Nothobranchius furzeri: one gene and its partners. The protein of the gene in region 3 interacts with the protein of the main gene of each other region in a pairwise test. Links are inferred from orthologs where the notes say so. Each region holds a gene or a part of one and is shown on either strand. Other genes may lie near its edges. The genes, in order: bromo adjacent homology domain-containing 1 protein, pitx1, segment polarity protein dishevelled homolog DVL-3 and syt6a.

The links.
Region 1: the proteins of segment polarity protein dishevelled homolog DVL-3 (region 3) and bromo adjacent homology domain-containing 1 protein interact in binary tests that used the Homo sapiens proteins (3 or more experiments, as listed by UniProt). The two-hybrid records come from large-scale screens. The link is inferred for Nothobranchius furzeri from reciprocal best matches to the Homo sapiens genes DVL3 and BAHD1.
Region 2: the proteins of segment polarity protein dishevelled homolog DVL-3 (region 3) and pitx1 interact in binary tests that used the Homo sapiens proteins (3 or more experiments, as listed by UniProt). The two-hybrid records come from large-scale screens. The link is inferred for Nothobranchius furzeri from reciprocal best matches to the Homo sapiens genes DVL3 and PITX1.
Region 4: the proteins of segment polarity protein dishevelled homolog DVL-3 (region 3) and syt6a interact in binary tests that used the Homo sapiens proteins (3 or more experiments, as listed by UniProt). The two-hybrid records come from large-scale screens. The link is inferred for Nothobranchius furzeri from reciprocal best matches to the Homo sapiens genes DVL3 and SYT6.

What each region holds. Positions count from the first base shown.
Region 1 is NC_091742.1:23,421,980-23,427,049, forward strand, and holds part of bromo adjacent homology domain-containing 1 protein, read left to right. Parts: intron 1-2,354; coding exon 2,355-4,112; intron 4,113-5,070.
Region 2 is NC_091750.1:54,396,263-54,401,781, reverse strand, and holds the start of pitx1 (pituitary homeobox 1), read right to left. Parts: upstream 3,725-5,519; 5' UTR 3,579-3,724; intron 2,932-3,578; 5' UTR 2,923-2,931; coding exon 2,877-2,922; intron 1-2,876. UniProt on the Homo sapiens protein: Sequence-specific transcription factor that binds gene promoters and activates their transcription. May play a role in the development of anterior structures, and in particular, the brain and facies and in specifying the identity or structure of hindlimb.
Region 3 is NC_091751.1:58,280,135-58,285,204, reverse strand, and holds part of segment polarity protein dishevelled homolog DVL-3, read left to right. Parts: coding exon 1-60; intron 61-3,923; coding exon 3,924-4,055; intron 4,056-4,409; coding exon 4,410-4,577; intron 4,578-4,671; coding exon 4,672-4,872; intron 4,873-5,070. UniProt on the Homo sapiens protein: Involved in the signal transduction pathway mediated by multiple Wnt genes.
Region 4 is NC_091755.1:39,409,494-39,414,563, reverse strand, and holds part of syt6a (synaptotagmin-6), read left to right. Parts: intron 1-410; coding exon 411-801; intron 802-4,170; coding exon 4,171-4,732; intron 4,733-5,070.

The DNA of each region.
Region 1 (5,070 bases), on a different chromosome or scaffold from region 3:
GTTCATCTTGTTAACAGACTAATAAACCAAAAATGCATTTTGGGCAAAAACATTAGCATCCCCCTTTCAGTAGGATATAATGGCTAATCACGTTATAAAGAAAATGAAAACATGTTATTAATCTGAGTAATTTGGCTCAGAAAGCTAATTTATTGACTGTATTGTCTTTAGACATCTCATTAGGCAGGTAGACAGTCAGACTTTAGATGTTCATGCTGAAATTCCTGTGCGCTTAGTAAGCATTTCAGCTGACACTCGAGCTGCTTACTGCTAATTGAGTTTAGCTGCTAAATATCTCCACTGTGAGTGTTAGTAATGATATCATGCAGCCATTTGAAAGGTGGACGCAACAATTCTCCTTCTCTGTGGAAGGTGCATGTTGGCACAAGGAACGTGGAGAGCTGTTAAAGTGATCAAAGACGTCTTTAAGTTTAAATACGTACCATTTAGCCCACTTGTTGGTTTGCTTGTTTATTTATCTCCATTCAGATAAATGGTTAAGGAAGAATTTTTCTTGGCATTCCCTTATCAGGCTAAACATTTCAGACTAAACAACCGGCTCTTCGCGAGCTGTTACTGACCCTCTGTGTGCACACTAACTGATAACACGGGTTCTTGGTATGACTGCTTCAGGTTCTTCAATAAGACATAAAACAAAACACACAAACGTAAACTCATTGTAACAGGCGGGCATTTCAGATTCTATAGCTGAAGATGAACGTAAGATAAAGTGAGTGAGGTCTGATCAGACAACCATCCAGCCAAAGAGTGTAGTCATTACTAGAAACACCTTTATGCGTTCTATCAGACAATGCAACAAATGAGTCGTCTGTTTTGCTTTCAGTTTCAGTGTGTTTCATGACTTAATAAGACCGATCTTTGTCTATCTTTAAGCAATGGCAATAAAAGATGTTAGAAAGGAAAACTATACTTTCAAGGGAAAAGGCAGATATTTTGTGGTTTGCCTTTACTTCCAGCAGAGCAGCTCACCAGTCTGAAGTTGCAATTGGGATATTCTGGACACAGGGGGCGATAGAGGGCTGGGTAGCCTTTTATTAACCCTGGAAAGGGTTGTTTTAGCACATACTTACTCAAGATAAAAATTTAAAAAATTTGCAAAGTATCTCTTTAAAAGGCCTTTACATTAAGGGTTTTTGGCAAGCCCACATTTACATGTCATTGTTCAAGTATTTTCACAATAAGAGTCCAGGGCAAGCATATGTGCGTTAAAACAACAACAAAAACCAGTTCCTATCGTTTTAAGGGTTATATTGTATTGTGGTGTATAGGCTGCTCTCCAGACTTGCTATAGAGTTATTTATTCATGTGTTTTAATTTAATTAGGGCTCACGTGGATTACTGTGACATTTTTAAAATCACAGATGTATTCAGATAGCAGTATTTACTTTGTAAATGGACCTTTAAAGCTCATTGCTTGCTTTTCACCATGATGGCTGGAAGGCATTTCAAGTATGATTTGAAGTGTTTTGTGAAGGAGGGGTCTGTTGTTTCGAACCAAGGTCATTCAAAGAGATGTCTTTAACTTTCCACAGAAATCTACTTCAGAAGATCTGGAATTCCTCTTTACATTTTATGACTTGTTCCGTGGGAGCCAATTATGCTAGATGATACCCTAACTAGGCTAGTAGGTGCAGTGTTTCCCCTAGAAGTTTTTCCATCCATGGTGTAGGGGGTTGCAGAGCATCCTCCGTGAGGGGCTTGCGGGGCCGCGGCCAGGCCATATTGGATCAAGTCAGGGGTACCGTCCAAGGGGTTCTGAAAGCTTCACGAGAAGACGGTCGTAATTGCTCCACATCTGAAAAGCGCGACAGGTTCGCTGCTATGCATCGTCTATGAGAGCGGGGTGGGGGAGGGGGGTCACGAGTGGAATGTTTCGCTTCCATGCGTCTCCTGTGGGGGGATCTCGTAGGCGTGGCACTGGAATTTTAGCTGTGGCGCAGTGCCACGCTTGAGCCTGTGTAGGGGAAACACTGAGGTGTCATTTCTGGTAAATGTCTATGGTGTGACATCATTCTGGTAACGATTTGTTATAGATGGTTCTTTTTTGTTTATACATTTGTACAAGCTACTTCCTATTTATGGGATATACTTGGGAACTTTCCGTATTATGGCTATGTTGCTAATACATGCTAGTAAGCAGTTACCCTTCTGTTTGTTGGATAGATTACATTTGGACTTGGTCATTTGACAAAACATAAGGCTTCCGTAGCACAAGGAGTTTGTATATCAACACTGTTTTTTATTTTTTCAACTCTTTAGTGTGTAGATTTAGTTGTTTTTCCCTGTTTGGCCTGTTTTGATCTCTTCTGTAACTTTGTGCTTCTTTTCTCTAGGTTCTATTGAGAAGCATGTGATGACTCATGCGAGGCAGACCGCTTCCCTCAGCCAGAATCACAGTAGTTCTGAGTGGTGGGATTGTAGTCGTCCTTGGCCTCATGCTGGCGCAATGGGAGGCGACTGGCCTGAGGGTGCGTTACGATTTGGCAGGACAAAGAAAATAAGTGGGATCCTGAAAGAAGAGAAAGGCATGGCGAAGAGGAGGAACAAAAAGAAAGAGGGAATAAAACGTTCAGACCAGGAGAGAAAGCTGCACCGGAAACAAGAGAAGAAGCGCAACCGAAAGTTGTACCCTTTGCGAGGGAGGGCTGGGAATGCGGATGAGGAAGGGCGGAGCTGCAATGTTCTCCTCACTCGTTTTGAAGAAAGCTTACGCAAACAGGAAAGGTCTAAAGAAAGGGGGAAAAAAGATGGTCACATATCCAGAAAAGGGAAATGTAAGAAAAGAGAACAGGCAAAGGTGTTACCAAAAGGCAAAGTTAAGACAAAAGGCCTAGATTTTGCAAAGTGTGTTGAACTCAAAGACTTGCTACCACGCAAGCGTAGACTAGCTTCCCTCAATGCCGAAGCGGTAAACAGTTTACTACTTGAAAGAGCTGATGCTCAGCCAGCAGCCAAACAGGCCAGGAGACAAGAGGATTATGTGGAGGGAGGGGTTCCCTTGGATCCAGCCAGAGGTAATGTGCAAGGGGGTCTGAAAACTTCACAAGAAAACGGTCGTAAATGTTCCACGTCTGAAAAGCCTGATTTGTTCCAAAGTTCCAAGCTAAGCAAGAAGAGAAGTGATGAAAGTATTTGGATGAGCCAGGAATGTTTGAATGCACCTACACCGAGACGGTTGGCTGGACTTAATGCTGCAGCCCTGCTGAAGTTAACCAGCTCCTCTGCTACCAGTAAACAGAGAGCAAAGCCTACACCTACAGCAGCTAACACTTCAGAATATGTAGTCCCTGCTGCAATCTCAACCCCAAAGCAGCACCACAAGGTCAAATCCCAACACAACAGTCGTGTACAGAAAAGAAAGGGCACCAAAGCCCCCCCAGGGCCTGGTTGCTGCACAACCTGCAAAGAGAAAGTAGACTTTGAGCCCAAAGTGGAGTGGGAGACGGCCAGCTGCAACCGTTACCTGACCAATCAAGGCTATCAATCTCGTAGCATGCTAGCATACCCGCTGAAACAAGTGAAGGAAGAACAGCTGGAGGCCGAGCTGAGTCCATACTACTGCTGTCCAAATGAAGGCTCTGTGGAATACTGCCACCGCTTGGCATACTTCCTCAGTCAGCAGACCTACGGAGACTCCGAAGACCAATCGCTCAAGTCAGCAATGCCTCCTGTGAAGCCAGAGTGCCTAGTAACCTCACCATCACTCACGCATTCCCACCCACACACGGCCCTCACCCTCAGCCCTCACCCATGCCTGTGCACAGCGGACCACTGCTTCTCCAGCTACTATGTCCACATTGCCCACCCAACACACACTGGAACTAATTCAGCAACCTTAGCCACACAACCTCTCAACTTCACCTCATCCAGTTTGTGCTCCAGTCATATTAGCAGCTCCAAGCTGCTGGGACAACAAATGTCTCATGCCTCAGGGTTAACCCACCCTTCCTACTGCAACTCTGTGTCTTCTCCCTGTTATGGAGATGCCTGCGGCGTCACTGGCTACACCTACAGAGCAATGCCTCCAGTCACAAGCAGAGGCTGTTCCTTTAGTACTGGATGCACTGGATGTACGCACAGTATCAAGAAAGGTGAGTGGAAAACGTAAACACGCCTAAATGTCATCAGTATTGGGAAGAACACTCATTATAACGTAAGGAGTAGGCATGGGCGATAAATCGATTTAATGAATTAAATCAAATTTTTGTTGCGGAAGATTTTAAAAAAACTTTTATCAAATTGTTATGTAATAGCGCCTTTATTGTCCCCCCAGAGCTTCTGTAGCGTTAGTTTCACATAACCGCGACAACAACGTCACAGCACGCACACGAAACAGCAACAGCAAGCAACTCCATGGCCACCGGTGAGAGTGGGAAGTTTGTTCCTAAAAACGGAATTAAATCATCCGTTGTTTGGAACTGGTTTGGGTTTGCTGCGACGGGCGTGAAGCGTGGCACTTTTATTCCAATAGGGTGATCATTTATCCATTATTCATCTCAGAAATGAGGGTTACATTTGTCTTGCTTGTGATTAAATAAAAAACTAAATTGGCTTTAACGTGCCTTCCATTAGTACTTATTGCTGTTCTTAATAATTGAGGGGGAGAGAGAATCGGAAAAAATCGTAAATTGAATTAAAAAAATAAAATCGGAGACTTTATTTTTAGGCCGTATAGTGAGAAGGTCAACTTTATTTTGATCTGCCAGATAGAATCCAAGCTTTGATCGAAACAAAAGTGGTCTTACAACAGTTCGCTTGGGGTAGGCTGTTCTTGTGAGTGTTTGTTGAAAAACATGTCAACCTCAAGTGCATTTACATAGTTTCTTGTTAGTCGATAGGGTTAGGTACAATCTTTTCAGAATGCACTTCTCCAATCTGAACTATAGTGGTGTTGTTGACTGATAACTCAGGAAGGCCAGGGACACATAACTAGATTTTTCTTTTGGTTTGAATTAAATAAAAGCATGTGATCATTAGATTTTAAAATCCCTAAATAAATCAAATCAAATCAAAGATACTTTATTAATCCCAGAGGGAAATTAGAGTTTC
Region 2 (5,519 bases), on a different chromosome or scaffold from region 3:
GCTTCTTTACACACACACACACACACACACACACACACACACACACACACACACACACACACACACACACACACACACACACACACACACACACACACACACACACACACACACACACACACACACGGTGAATGTATATCTCTATTATGTGCTGAGCTGAATAAACATTTGACCACAGGCCTGCCCACTGACTGATCTCTGGATGAAACGTGCCTTTGACTGATGTGTGCCACAGACTGGATCTTTTCTACCGAACACACCAGAGAATGTGCTGCAGCTGTTTGTCCAAACAACCTCATTTCTATTCAGACATTTTACGCATTTGCACTTTACGCACTCAAACCCAATGAGGTGCTGCAATTATCCTTGTTTACATCTAAATGAGGCTATGATGGTTGCCGATGATGATGGCGTTTCGTTGGCACAATCTGCGCCGAGATTGTGCCAGTGCTCCAAGCCAAAAGAGCAGAGCAGGTGTCTTTTATCCAAATTAACACTAAGAGAAGTGGAGAAAGAGTCAGTGGAGTTGTGAAGGTCAGCGTGCACATAAGCAAATGTTTTGATAATATACTGCAAAAACTGTTTTTACAGTCGTTCTTGTAGCGCAGCTATACGCACGACAACTCGAGGGTCGAATCCTAAAGCGCACTGTTGTTCTGTTGGCTCAGATAAAAATGAGACTCTCTTTCGAAGACACGTGAGGAATACACTCCAGCCAATATTATCCAATGAATTTAACTGACTTTGGTTTGAAACGTTGGAATAAAATGCTGCTAAAATTAAAAATTAAAACATAAAAAATATACACGTTATCAAACCACTGCTAATAATGATCGCATGCACACTTAAGTATGTCGTTCTCATCTGCACAGAACGGATAGGTGCAAACATAAATGAGGTTAGTTTGGTGCGTCTGCTGCCTAACCGGGGCGCTGGTTCGGGTAAAATCAAGTCTGGACCACGCAGCGTCTCCGGCGCCACTGCCGACCATTGTATGACTGACTTCTGACATAAGATCCCCGTCCAACCAGGAAACACCCCCGAAGGCCCTATACCAAACAATTGTGAAAGCTCTCAGCAATCGCTTGGCTTTTGCCATCTGCTCTTCATCCTCTCCACACGCTGCGTGTTTTAGTGACAGGAACGCATCCGATCTGAGGGCCTGTGCTGGCCTGCCGGAGGAATACTCTCAAATAAGATCTGGTGATTTTGGAATTTAGGGTGAATTTCACTTCAGTGGTTTGGGAAGTTTAAAACTAAAGATGGTTTATTTATTTATTTAAAATAGTTTGGTATATAAAGATGTGTCAGCACGCAAACAAACACCACTGCGTCTGTGCGTAAATGTTTTTTCATCTCTGATGTATTTTGCACAGGAACTCAAAAGCTTCATCTGGACGCAGCATTGTCACGTGACCAATAATAGATGTAATTATCACCGACTGTTTGCATGCGAAATGATTATAAGGTTCAGCCTATGTTGGTCCCTTAGAAAAATGCCCCATTAAGCACTGGGCGAATTAAAAAATATATTGGATGCAGTCCAGTCTCATCCAACATCCTACTCATCAAACGCGATAGGTTGCACAAACGGAGATGTGTCAGTAATTCATATATGTTAATTATCATAAATCACGCAAGATTTTGCGGCATTTCGTGAAATCAGCGTTATTTTCATCATCTGGCCTCTCATTTAAAGAAGAATCCAAAATTGCATCAACATACATGCACGTTAGAATTTTGGAAGTCTACATTTATGCAGATCAGTTGAAATCTGCGTAAACCCAACGACCCCTCTGGTCCGCTTTGGAGTATTATGGGATTTACTGCGCTTGGGAGTCTCGCCACCTCAGCTCCAGAGATCTCTGAGCTTCATACGGCTGTGTGATAAATGGTGTTAATCTAAATACCCAGCCTCCATCCCTGCCCGCGTCCTTCTCCGTTCTGGAGGGCACTTGCGTGTGATGGATGAGTTAAAAAGTCTTTCCATCCGGCAGGACAGGTTAAAGGCCAGCGACAGCGCAAACACTCATGTTTTTCTCTCTAAGAAGTCAAAATAAACCCTGCGAACGCTGTTCATCACATAAAATTACAGTATTTGTGTTTTATTTCTCCGCACAGCAAAGGGGAGCGCGCAAGAGAAAACAAAGCAGCAAAAAACTGGAAGGCAGCGGAGATGTAACTGGAGACGGTGCGTAACTGGAGAAGGACAGAGCAGATTATTGCCTTGGTGATGTTTTCCCTGCTCGGGTCTAAAAGGCCTGTTTGACCCGCAGTGTGACTACCAGCCTAAACCCACAAAGAGACAGTCTGAGTAATTAAAACAGCTGCTAATTGGCAAAACTCATTCTCAATTTAGAAAAACATGTCAGCATTCCCAATGAACCCAATAAATTACTTATAAATCATTTAAACGTTCTCTAAAGTTTCTACAATCATGATTAAAATAAAATAACTGTACTTCTCTTGGTGACAACTCCAATTTTACGCACTGTTGCATTTTTTAGAATTTTTTTTCTAAACTGACAAAATATACCAGCGTATTACACAATTTAAATGTCCAAACCCTCTTAAATTGCGCACGAGTTTACATTTGTTAATGTTTTTTTAATCTTTAATTGTTTTTGTTAAACTCTGAAATCTTAAAGTTTGGTTAGTTGAAAATATTTTAATTAAAGACAATGTTTACATAAAACAGTTCCTAGATAATTCCAAAAGAGGGTATTTTTTCTCGTTTTTTAAAAAACCGGACAGAAAATTAATTTGCATCTCCCAGTTCCACATTTCATAGCTCCCTGAGCAAAGCAGCTTTTTGAGCGTAAAAGATGGAGAAATCTCTAATTCACAAACATTTTAAACCTGCAGCATCCTCTTACCTGGGTCCCCACAGGAAATCACATTCTTGGACAAATTCAGTTCCATTCCAGTTACCTGAAAAACAAAACCAGAGGACAAAACATATTAACTTTATTTATTAATGTCATTTTAAGTTGAACCAACACGCTGGTGTATCACTGCTGATTTCTTGTCATTTTTCCAATCCTCAAACATGGTTTTACAAGGAAATGTGAAAGAACAACTTTGAAGGAACCAAGCGAAAATCAGCCAATATTTACAGAGCAGCAGCTCCACCTGACAGCCTGCCACTGAATGCTTTTCTATCATTCATTCATTCATTCATTCATTCATTCATTCATTCATCTCGTGTTTTGGGCCCAACAGTAACATCACTGACCTAGAGACAGTTTACTTTCGCCCCTAACACCACACACACATATGCACGCACGCACGCGCATCCACAGATGCAGGAATATATTTGCTGTTCGTGTCCTCTCTATCTCCCATCACCAGCGCTGATCTGAACGCAGATGCGTGTTCTCTATAAAACGGTTATTTTAGCTTAATCCTCTCCTGCCTCTTTGACCTCCAACCAGATAGGAACACGCGCAGTTTACACTGATCACAGCGGCATGAATTGTCGCATTTATAGCTCTTCGTGAGCCCGGTGCGTAAAAACGCTACTAATTGAGCTGTTAAGTCTCCAATCGCCTAAAATCACACGCACGTGTTTTTCTCACCAGTTGTTTCCCAGCAGACGAAAGAGTAAAAGTAAAAACGCCTCACGGTGTCCCATGCAGGTGTCCCAGTAAATCCAGTTTAGCGTTGCCTGTGCGTAAACGCTGCGTCCTCGGTGATCGGCGCTTTGGTTAGCTCCGAGTTGTTGCCTTGGTTTTCTTCTTTGGCTCTCTACTGCACAGCCCCAACGTGACGTCACACATCCCTCCCTAGTCTCCCACCCCGTCACCTTCTTCATCCTCCCGCATCTTCGGTATGACCGAGTCTTCACAGCTTTATTCGGCATCGATTTCCCACTTTTTTTCATTTTCGTCATTTATTTCATTAGGATTTAAAACAGTTTTTCGATTGCAAAATGTTTGAAACCTGATTTCTGTATTTTAGCGGTTGCTTCAATTTAAATATTATAATTATTGTTATTACTGATAAATGTAGCAGATGAAAACACAACTTGAAGAAGGTAAAAAGATCTAATCGAAAATAATAATAATAATAATAATAATAATAATAATAAGTGAAGGTCGAATATCTGAAAAAAGTATTTTTTAACTTTATTTTAAAATTACTTTTTATTGTTTTCATCTCCAAACAGGAAATAATCATTCCTAATCCATATGGATTCTGACTCATATGTTTAGCTACATTTATTTATTTAAATCACATATATTACATTTTATTTTATTTTAGCTACTGAATCTTTAACGTTGCTCAGATTACACCCGTTAACAGTTTTTGAGTTACTTAAACAGACAAAAATATTTTATTTAACTTTTAATCTCCGATCAAAAGTTTATTTTAATACAAAATAAGTGTATAATGTAGGTTAAAGCGACGCTCCGAAAAATCATAGAAATCAATTAAAGCTGGTAATTAGGTTAATGTTTTCCGTGTGTGTTTGTATGTGTGAGTGTGTGTGTGTATGTGTATGTGTGAGTGTGTGTATCCGAGCAGAGGATGTAGGTCAGGTAGGCGGCCGAGCAGATTAAAGTATTCAAAACCCTTTATGAGTTTTCATTATTAGAATAAAAACATTGATTTACTTAGAAGCGTTTGAATCCGTTTTGGATCAATAATTCCAGCTTTAGCTTCACGTGCGCAGCTTCCTCTGACCAGAAACTTTACAGAAAGTGTGAAATTTGTTTGATCCCGTTTTCTTTTTTAATGCAGCCAAGAGCTGCGCACAAAGCAAAGCTCCGCTCTGAGACAGAAGGATTAAAGAGGAGTTGCGGGCCTCCATCAGACCTCCTTCAGGCTCCTTCTCGGCTCCTCTCACGTTAGCAGCTGTTCTGCCCAGTTTCTAACACCAGCTCCCCATTAACGAGACAATTTGGACACTTTAAGATTTAAGACCATCCAAGTAAATTTTTTTCAAATGTTCTTTTTTTTGGGGGGGACTAAAGTTATAAAGTGAACTTTACTAAGTGAACACTATTAGTTTGAAAACTTACAAGATTGATGAGCTAACAGCTAGTCCAATTTTTTCCCATTACACCCCTCCTGCCTGGAACTTTGTTTTCGCGCCTCTCTAAAACAAGATTTTTGCTTATTTTACAAGCAAGAATATTAGTAAATGTAAACCTCTGGTGCATCCAGAGGTCAGCAGTCTGCAGCAATCCAAAAGGCCTTTTTCACATGAATAAAAAGCCAAAACCAGAACAGGACCTTTTGAAATGTTAAAGTTCATTATTCTTAAGAAATGTCTACAGAAGATGATTAAAGCCACTGGAAAAAAGTATTTTTCCTGTCTGACTTCTAAAAGAAAAACCTTAGAATTATGAGGAAAAAGTTTCAATTCTGATTTTTTTTCCCACCTCTCCCGTAGATGTAAAGTTATAAGAGATTTGTTGTCATTTAAAAAACAACATAATTTGGTTTCTATTAGGTTTAAAATTAATAAATAAAATTAGCAAAAAGTATAGCTATTATATATATATATATATATA
Region 3 (5,070 bases):
CCATGAGCACCGTCACCTCCACCAGCTCCTCCATTAGCAGCTCTATCCCCGAGACTGAACGTGAGTCATGTCGTCCCCCTGCAGCTGCCTGTTGTGGCTTGTTATTGAGGCACTGTTATTCAAATCAACTGTCATCGCTCGCTCCTCGGTAGTTTAAGCACATTTTCTTATTTGTTGTCATTTGTTTGTTTATCTGACTGTTTGCACTGCTGTGAAAGGTGCACCAACTAAACGTTTTCACGATCAGTCTTTTATTAATACTCCGATTCTCCTCAGACATGTTTGTTAGTGTGGCCTCGCCCTTAAACCACATTCCTGTGACTCGTCTCTGTTCCATTTGGGAGCCTCACGGCTTCCATCTGCTGGATAACTCCCGGTCTAAGCGGAGCCATAACTCACAAGTTTAATCTTCTCTGTAATCTTTGGAAACGACTGGGATGTTTTAGCTTCATTTGTCGAGAAAAATGTTTCCTTCCTTCATTTCTATGTTCCTGAATATTTGGGTTAAATAGAATCACACTTGACTTGATAAGACCTGTAAAAATCATTCTCGTTGTTTTGTCATGAATCTGGTTCATTTTTGTGGGTTATATTTCACATGCGGCTGCAGAAAAGTAAAACTAGCTTCAGCCGTCATAAGATGCACAGTTGGGTTTTGTTTCAGTCAGTGTAAACCGTGCAGCCACTTGTGTGTAAAACTACAGAAAATGCATTATTACTGATCTCTGTGCAGCATTTGGATTCGTGTAATAGATTTATTATTTGTGCATGTGCAAAATGTATTTTCACAACCCCGGTGCAGTGAAACCCTGGCATGCTTCCTGTTGCTTTTGGCACTTTGTTACAGGGGTGTGGACTCCCAGCTGGGAATCACCGTTGTGGGGAGGTTTAATATTCCATGGTCTGGCTGTTTTAAAGCTGCTGCATTTTCTGTGAAAACGAGCAAAGTTTTGGTCCGGTCCAAGTGCTTTTCATGGACAAGGCTAAGCTATGTCTCACATTTTTGGTGAAACAAAATAAGTCAGATATCTTTTTAGGCAAATTCCGAACACATCCGCATTTTTTAGTAAGTAAAATCTCAGACCTCTAAAGGAGAACAAGGCAGTTTTGGCTTGCTTTTAGCACCCTCTAGTGTCCAATTGTAGAACCAAAAGCAAAACCTATCTCCTCGCTGTGTGTTGGGTTAGAGTCTTTTTTACACCTTAATCTAATAAAAGCTGAAACATCTCCCTAGCCTGTTAGTGTCTACAGGAGTGATTCATCACTAAATTAAACAAATCAGCTGTGCTCATGATCAGTGGAAGAAGGACAATCTGCATGTTTCCCTAATTGCTCTACGTGACAGTTGCAAATCTTACCAGGAGGCAGTTAGATCTGTTCCATTCTCACTTCCTTAAACTCAAATAACCCTAGAGTACTTTATACCGCAATTAACTCAGTTTTGAAAGTGATTGATCACCATTTGGTGCAGGCTTCAGCTAAAATGTGTGATGAGTTCTTTGACTTTTTTATGGGGAAAGCCCTTCTGCGATACTATCAGAGGTTTGATAGCATTTCAACCAATTAGTTTAGATGACTTGATCAAGATTGTTGGGGAGGCTAAGCCGAGCGGCTTGCCAGGTGACGTGATGCCTGCGCGCCTCTTTAACCCTCCCACCGTCTTTATGGGTGACCCCGCGAGGAAAGTTGACCATTGAGCAGGATTGATGGTTTATCCCTTGAGGCCCACGTGGCAGGGGTGAGGCGGTGCTCATTCCTCACCCCTGCCACATGGACCCAAGGGATGAGCCATCAACCCTGCTCAATGGTCAGCTTTCCTCATGGGGTCACACCCAGTAGGACAGTGGGAGGGTTAAAGAAGTCTTTCCAGTAGTCACCCCTCTAATATTGCACATAATTAACATGAGCCTAAGCTCTGGCGTAGTCTCTGGTGATTTTAAAAAGGCGGTTGTTCAACCTTTGCTCAAAAAGCCTGGACTGGATGCTTCACTGTCTGCAAACTACAGGCCCATTTCTAAACTTCCATTCTTAAGTAAGGCACTAGAGAAATGTGTTTACCACCAGCTCTTGGTTTTTATGGATGAGAATGGCATTTTTGAGGCTTTCCAGTCTGGCTTCAGAGCTCTACACAGCACTGAGACTGCACTGGATAGAGTGCTCAATGACATTTATCTAGCTACTGATAGCGGTAATTCTGTGTTGTTGCTTCTGTTGGACCTCACGGCAGCCTTTGACACGATGGACCATGAAGCGCTGCTTCACCGTCTCCATTATGTCGGGATTTCTGGGTTAGCCCTGGAGTGGTTCAGATCATACCTGACAAATAGAAAGATGTGTGTAAGGATGGGAAGTTATTCCTCAAAGTACTCTGATTTACCCTGGGGGGTATACCACAGGGCTTGATATTGGGACCTTTGTTGTTTTCTACTTACATTCTGCACTTAGGTGACATCTGTAGTGAGCTTGGAGTTCACTTCCACCTTTATGCTGACGATGGTCAGCTGTACCTGCCTCTGAACACGTCAAGTGGTCTCTCTATTTCTATTCTTACGAACTGTTTGAGGGAGATCAAGGCCTGGATGAGTGGAAATTTTCTGAGCTTAAATGATCAGAAAACAGAGGCTATATTGTTTGCTCCAAGCAGACATTGTGACTCTTCCCTAACTGACTGTGGGTCATTTAATGGCCAGCTGAGTGCATCAGTGACTAATCTTGGTGTTAAACTAGATAGCGCCCTTAGTTTTGATACCCACATCAATGGAGTGCTCTCCTCCTCCTTTTTCCACCTTCGTCGGCTGACAAAGATCAAACCTTTCTTGTCACGACATGATCTTGAGACGGTAGCCCATGCTTTTATTACGGTGTGATTGGACTACTGTAACAAGGGCTCAATAGCCAGGTTGCAAATAGTGCAGAATGCTGCTGCCAGGTTTTGAGGGCAGGCGCAAGTATGACCCCATTACTCCTGTCCTGGCTGCGCTTCATTGGCTGCCCGTTGATGTAAGGATTCGTTTTAAGTTACTTTTGCTGGTTTTTAAAACGTCAGATGGTTAGGCCCCTCCTTACTTGGTGTCACTGCTTCAACCGTACACCCTTGCACGGTCACTCTGCTCGGAGAACCTCATGCTCCTCTCGGTCCCAAGGTCACGCCTAAAGACGCGTGGTGATAGGGCCTTTGCTGTGGCAGGTCCTAAGCGTTGGAACGAGCTTCCTCTTAGCATAAGGGCCTCCACCTCTGTGACGGTTTTTAAGGCAAGGCTAAAAACCTACTTTTATGATCTGTCTTTTAATCTTTCTAACTAGTTTTTATTGTTTGACTTAAAGTGATCCCACACATTCACTGTGTTGTTTGTCTGTATCGTGTGATCCAATGTTTTTATTTTCTGGACCTAATGTTTTATGTTTTTACTTGGTCTGTGTAGCACCTTGGTGGCATGTTTTTGCCTGTAAGGCGCGATTTATAAATAAAGTTGAGTTGAGCAAAACATGCAGGAAACATTCTAGAACCAGACTAAGTCCCAACAGAGCAGCCCGCCAGTCTGAAGTTGCAAGTGGAATATTCTGGCCACAGGTGGTGATAGAGGCCTTTCACTAATAGAATAAAATAGACTTTATTGATCCCACACTGGGGACATTCTCTTGCTACAGCAACACCAACACTTAAGAGAATAATTTGAAGAAAAATAATAACAAATGTACATGCACATACAGATAAGCTGTAAGCTATTATTGTAACCTTTGACCACTAAAAAACCATGAACTTGGCCCTTCTTATACAAAGCATCTGTGTTGTTGGATCAGTTCAAATTGCTGTTGACTTTGTAAAGGGTCATACTGGCTCAAGAAAATGATTTAAAATTATGAAAAAGTTGCAAAGTATCCCTTTAAAACTACATATTTGTGTGTCCTCGTCTGTCTTCTAGGGTTCGATGACTTCCACCTCTCCATCCACAGCGACATGGCAACGGTTGCTAAGGCCATGGCCTGTCCTGAGTCGGGCCTGGAGGTGCGGGACAGGATGTGGCTGAAGATAACCATCGCTAATGCCTTTATTGGTATGTTTATAAGACCACCCTTTTGGACTCTGTCACAACACGTGAATTATTATTCTAAAATACAAACCAGTGTTAAATCCAAGTGTTGGTTTTAAAAGACGGTGAGTGATGGAGACTGCTTAACAGTGAGAGAAGCTCATTCCAAAGCACAGAAGACGCATGCTTTTGCAGTAGTAGTAATTACATTACATGCAACGAGAGTCGCTGCTCTGTTGAAGCGTTTGGGCGGCTGGTGGGACGTGCGATGTTCTGACATATTTTTTCAGTGTTTGTTGTTCATCACAGGTTTTATAACGTCATGTAACAGCTAGCAGTCAAATGTCAGAAAATAAATTCTCTATTCTGCCTCCTCAGGTTCTGATGTGGTGGACTGGCTCTTCCACCACGTGGAAGGGTTCTCAGATCGCCGGGAAGCACGAAAATACGCCAGCAACCTGCTGAAAGTCGGCTACATTCGACACACAGTCAACAAGATCACCTTTTCTGAACAGTGCTACTATGTGTTTGGAGACCTCTGTGGCAGTGAGTGGACTTTGAAATGTAGTTTTTTTTATGTACGAACTAAATGTGGTCAATCTAAAGGTCATAATCTAATTTATGTGTTTGTTTTCTTCAGATATGACCCACCTGTCCCTACATGACCATGACGGCTCAAGTGGGGGTGCCTCAGACCAGGACACTGTCCCCCCGCTGCCCCATCCTGGAGCAGCTCCTTGGCCAATGGCACTGCCGTATCAGTTTCCTATTCCACATCCCTATGACCTGCCACAGCCGTTTGGTGGTCCGGGCGCTGGCAGCACAGGAAGCCAGCACAGTGGTGAGTCTGGCTTCAGACTATTGTGTAAACTCAGGAAAGCTATGTTTACCCAACGAACAGTTAGATTATTATCTGTTTATTTTATCCTCACTAAAGTTGTCTAATAAGCAAATGCAAATAATGATACTTTATTGTCTTAACGCACAAGAGGGTAATGCTGCTGCTGGAGGCGGCAGTGAGTCGTGTTCTCAGGAGCAA
Region 4 (5,070 bases), on a different chromosome or scaffold from region 3:
AGAAGATTCAGATACGTCGGTGTTGTGGCCTGATTCTGATATTTGTTTTTACTGTTTGTCGCACTCAAATTACTGTTACCTTTACAGCCAAGAGTATGTCAGAGAGAGCAGCCTGTGTGTGTGTGTGTGTGTGTGTGTGTGTGTGTGTGTGTGTGTGTGTGTGTGTGTGTGTGTGTGTGTGTGTGTGTAAGAGGGCTGTGTGTACCTAATAAAGGTTAGTTTAATTTTAATGAAGCACACCTCTCTGTTGTTTAGGGTTGTACAGAAAGCACTCATGCATTGTCACTCTGTATTAAATCCTGTTCTAATAGACTCGATTTCTCTGTGTGTGTCCTCTCTCATCCTTGTCGTCACCATCTGTTTGTCCATATTGTGTGATCCTGTTTCTGGTCCCTGCGGCTCACCACCAGACGTTACTTTTGGCCTGGTTCTGGGTCTGTTTCTTGTTTGTGGCCTGGCTCTGCTGGGCCTCCTTACGCTAGTGTCCTGGAAGCTGTGCCGGGTGCCTCGGCAGACAAAGGCCCACTTCCCCAGTCCACCTCTCAGCCCGGCCGGTAACCCACGACGCGGCTCGCTCCAGCAGCCTCCCCCGCTGCCCAGTCCCCAACAACCGGCGGTCACCATGGCAACAGAAAAGGTGAAGGACCCCATAGGCTCGCAGGCTTTCCTGGAGGCAGCAGTGAAGATAAGCCATACCTCTCCCGACATCCCCACGGACGTGCAGCTCTCCATGAGGGAGCACTTCTTGCGCCGCACGCAGCGCATGCAGAGACAAACCACTGAGCCAGCCTCGTCCACACGGTTAGTCTCTGTCACACACACACACACACACACACACACACACACACACACACACACACACACACACACACACACACACACACACACACACACACACACACACACACACCTATGCACAAACCTGACAAAATAGATAGCAAAATGAGTTTTGTGGCGTATGAAGTTGCGTAAATCCAACAGAAATAGAAATGTACATCTGAAACTGACTCTCTACTTGGATCATTCACTCTGCCAATAATTTCATTTTACATTACTGAAACCTGTTTTCAAGCAAAACCTCAATAAATAAACACCTCCCCGTTCACGAGCAGCTGCGCATAGATAAAACAAGAAGAACACCATAAAAACGTCTTTTAGAAGCTACAACCTGAACAACTGGAAGGTTTTGGTGAGTAAGACTAAACATCTGTCGACGTCTTTCCTGCATGACTTGAAGTATTTTATGCAGCAAAAATCACCCCAAATCCTCCTTTACAGATTTACAACAAAGAGCAAATAAAGGGCTTTTTTAAAGCTTCTTAATGTTTTCCATATTAGGTAACTTAGAGGTAAAACATGTAAGACATTTTAGGGATTTAACTTAAAATATTTCATTTATTTAAAAATATTACATTTAAAAGATGTCAGTGACCCTGTTAAAGCACAGGAGCCTCATTTATCGAGCTTGCTTACGCACAAAACGGGGTCGGAAAACTTCGTAAGCAACTTTCCACGCAAACGTCGGGATTTATGAAAGAAAACTTAGAGAAAAATGTGCACAACTTTAAGTTGACTAAGGACCTGGCTTACACACATGCTGGACATGGAGAGCACCTGCAGTGCTGCTGCTGAGAAGGATAAAATTATGAAATCCTGCAGCATTATCACTTGTAACGCTTCATTTTCACACAGAACAAGACCCCCCCCCCCACACACACGCGGGTGTTCACACACACACACACACACACACACACACACACACACACACACACACACACACACACACACACACACACACACATGCGCGCGCACACAGCCGGGCCACTTTTTTATATCAGCCACAGATCTCTCTTAAGAACTCAGCATTGACGGCTTCAGCAACGCTGTACCACTCTGTGGATTTTCTCTTATTTGTTTTGCAAAAGCACTTCCTTTCATTTCTCCACCTCACCCACAGGTACCTCAACTTCTGCTTCTGTGAAATAGCGCTTCCTTGATCTGCCTTGATCTGCGGTCGCCATCGTCATTGGTGGAGCGCTGCAACAAGCCGGCTTATGTATATGCATGAGATCCACAAGGGACTTTGCATTGACCATTTATGGTAGAAAGTGGGCGTGGTGAGGGGGGGATGTGACTAAAAAGCAGCTGAGAACCTTTCTAGATAGTCTCTGATTTATGAAGCTGAGATTACGTGCAGCTGTGCGTCCTCCATGTTTGATAGATCACAAACCTACTTGGCGTAAGTACTTTTTTTTTGCTGAGCTTAAGCACGGTTTTAGTAAGGATTCTACGCCATGTTTTATAAATGAGATGCAGTAGCTTACCATTACTGGCAGTGTGTGAATATGAGAATGCATGAAAGCATCTTTGAGTGTCCTAAAAAGCGCTATATAAGTTTGATGTATTGTTATTATTAACATTATTTAACCAATCAGCTTTCAGGTTCATCTCACACTGATATCAGAAGTTCTCCTCTGGTCAGATTAAAGCCATCACCACCAAGTTTTGCTAGCTAAACACATCCTCACTAATACTTTTAATTTCTTTTTATTTTATTCCCACACTGAGATGGATTTGGTCTCAGCTGCAGCTGCAGTATAGAGGAAAGATGTGAAGTAGTCTCAGCTGCTTTTCTTTTGTATTCATAACGGTACGCACTCTCAACAGTATGCTAATAGATGAATGAACAGCAAAGTATGAACTCTATGTTATGCAACTCCCTCTCACTCACCCGCTCTCGTACCTGCCCTCCTTCTCTCAACGTGCCCCACACACACCCTGCTATTGTATAACGATGAATAAATGTAAAAAAAATCTGTAAAAAAACATATTTCCTCAGTGTTTATTGGCACACAGCACAGTTAGTGAGACCCAGCTCCATGTGGTCTGAACAAGAGTCCTGCAAAGTGTTTGTTGCTTGGATAATTGTCACATCATAGCGGTTGGTAAGTTGGTATGTCGGCTCAAGGACCAAATGCAAAACCTGCCACTGATTCGCAGCTAACAAGTAGAGGATTGCTTCTTAAAGAAATCCTCATATTAGGATATTTCTCCAGCCAGTGACGCTTTAGTTAGTTTAGTTTATTTCAAACAAGAAAACATACATAATTAAAAAAAAAATACCACAAACAGAAAAAGTACATATCATCCCTTCTTCTGTGTTTGAAAAGGAGTAGGCTGAAGTGGAAACTTATATGTCCCTACCCCTTTATACAAGTAATTTTTACTTGTTTACTAAATCTAACACAAAACCTACATTAAAACAAACAAAATGGTACAAGTCACCAAAAACCACCAAACTATATGGAAAAAAAAACAAAAAAAGAAAAGAAAACATCTTTTTACAATTGATACAATTTACTTTTCCTTAGAATAAAGGAGACCCACATAAATCATCTATTTTCCACTATATACTTGTTCAGAATATGTTTTTTATAATTCATTTTAAACACATTTATATTTGTACTTACTTTGATTTCTTCTTCTAAATTATTCCATAATTGAACCCCTATTATTGTGATACGCATCTGTTTTAATGTTGTTCTAAACTTATGTATCTTTAAGTTTAGTGTCCCTCTCAGGTTATATCCTCCTTCTCTCTCTGTGAACAGTTTCTGTATTTTATCAGGCATTCATGTATTTCTTACTTTATACATTATTTGTGCTGTTTTGTATTTAACCAAGTCCTGGAACTTCATTGTCCATGTTTTAATAAAAAGTTCATTTGTGTGATCCAAATATCCTGCATTTGTTATTAATCTGATAGCCTTTTTCTGCATTGTCGTTATTGTTTGTAAATGACTTTTGTACGTGTTTCCCCAGACCTCTACACAATAGCTCAAATATGGCAGTAGCATCGTATTGTACAACATATAAAGTGCTTTCTGATTAAATATATACTTAGCTTTCCCCAATATAGCAATGCCCCGTGCAAGCTTCCCCCTAACATATTTGATGTGTGGCTTCCAACAGATTCTGCTGTCTATGACCACCCCAAGAAATTTTATTTCATGTACTCTCTCAATTTTTACATTATTAATTACTATATCTAATTCATTGTATAATTCATTCATTGACGATAATAAAACAAAAAATCCGTTGTCTTTGTTCAACGTAAGTGAGTCTGGACTCCTTAATTACAAAATTGACACTGTTTTTTTGTCTTTGCAGGCACAACTCTTTCAAAAGGCACCTGCCCAGGCAGATGCAGGTGGGCAGCTTAGATCTGGGAAATGATTATGTAGCAGACAAGGATGAAAAGCCAACAAGCATCGGCCGCATCCAGCCAGAGCTCTACCAGCTGAAGGCCCCAGAATCAGAGGATTCCTCCAAGAACAGCAGCGGCAAAAACTGTGGCAGGATAAACTTTTCACTCAAGTATGACTACGAGAACGAAGCCCTGCTTGTCAATATCATCAGGGCCGTCGATCTGCCTGCCAAGGACTTATGTGGTACTTCTGACCCTTATGTGAAGATCTATCTGCTGCCCGATCGCAAGAAGTTCCAGACTCGAGTCCACCGGAAGACGCTCAACCCCACGTTCATTGAGAGCTTCCAGTTTTCCGTGCCTTACGAAGAGCTGGCAGTCAGGAAGCTCCACATGAGTGTCTTTGACTTTGACAGGTTTTCTCGGCATGACATGATCGGAGAGGTGGTGTTGGAGAATTTGTTTGAGACGTCGGACCTGTCGCGAGAGACAAACATCTGGAGAGACATCGAGTATGCCACCAGTGTAAGAATCAGTCTGATTTTACTTTTTCCCCTAACAGATTCATTCTCTGATCACTAGCTGAAAAATAACACCTTAGTTCTATTATCTGAAATTCTATGAAGCCTTAAGCCCTAGGGTCCCCCAGGTGGGGGGCCCTGTGACGTTAGTTCCTTAACAGGCCCAAAACAACCCTCACACTACAGAAGAAATAGTTATAATTCCCATCAAATCAACCAGCAAACCCAGCGCTACAAGGCCATCTAAACTGTTTAGCGCCAAATTACGACAAGAGTCATCTCAAGGCACTTTACATAGTAAACATTCCAATACATGTCAGTTCATTAAGCCAATCAGAAAAA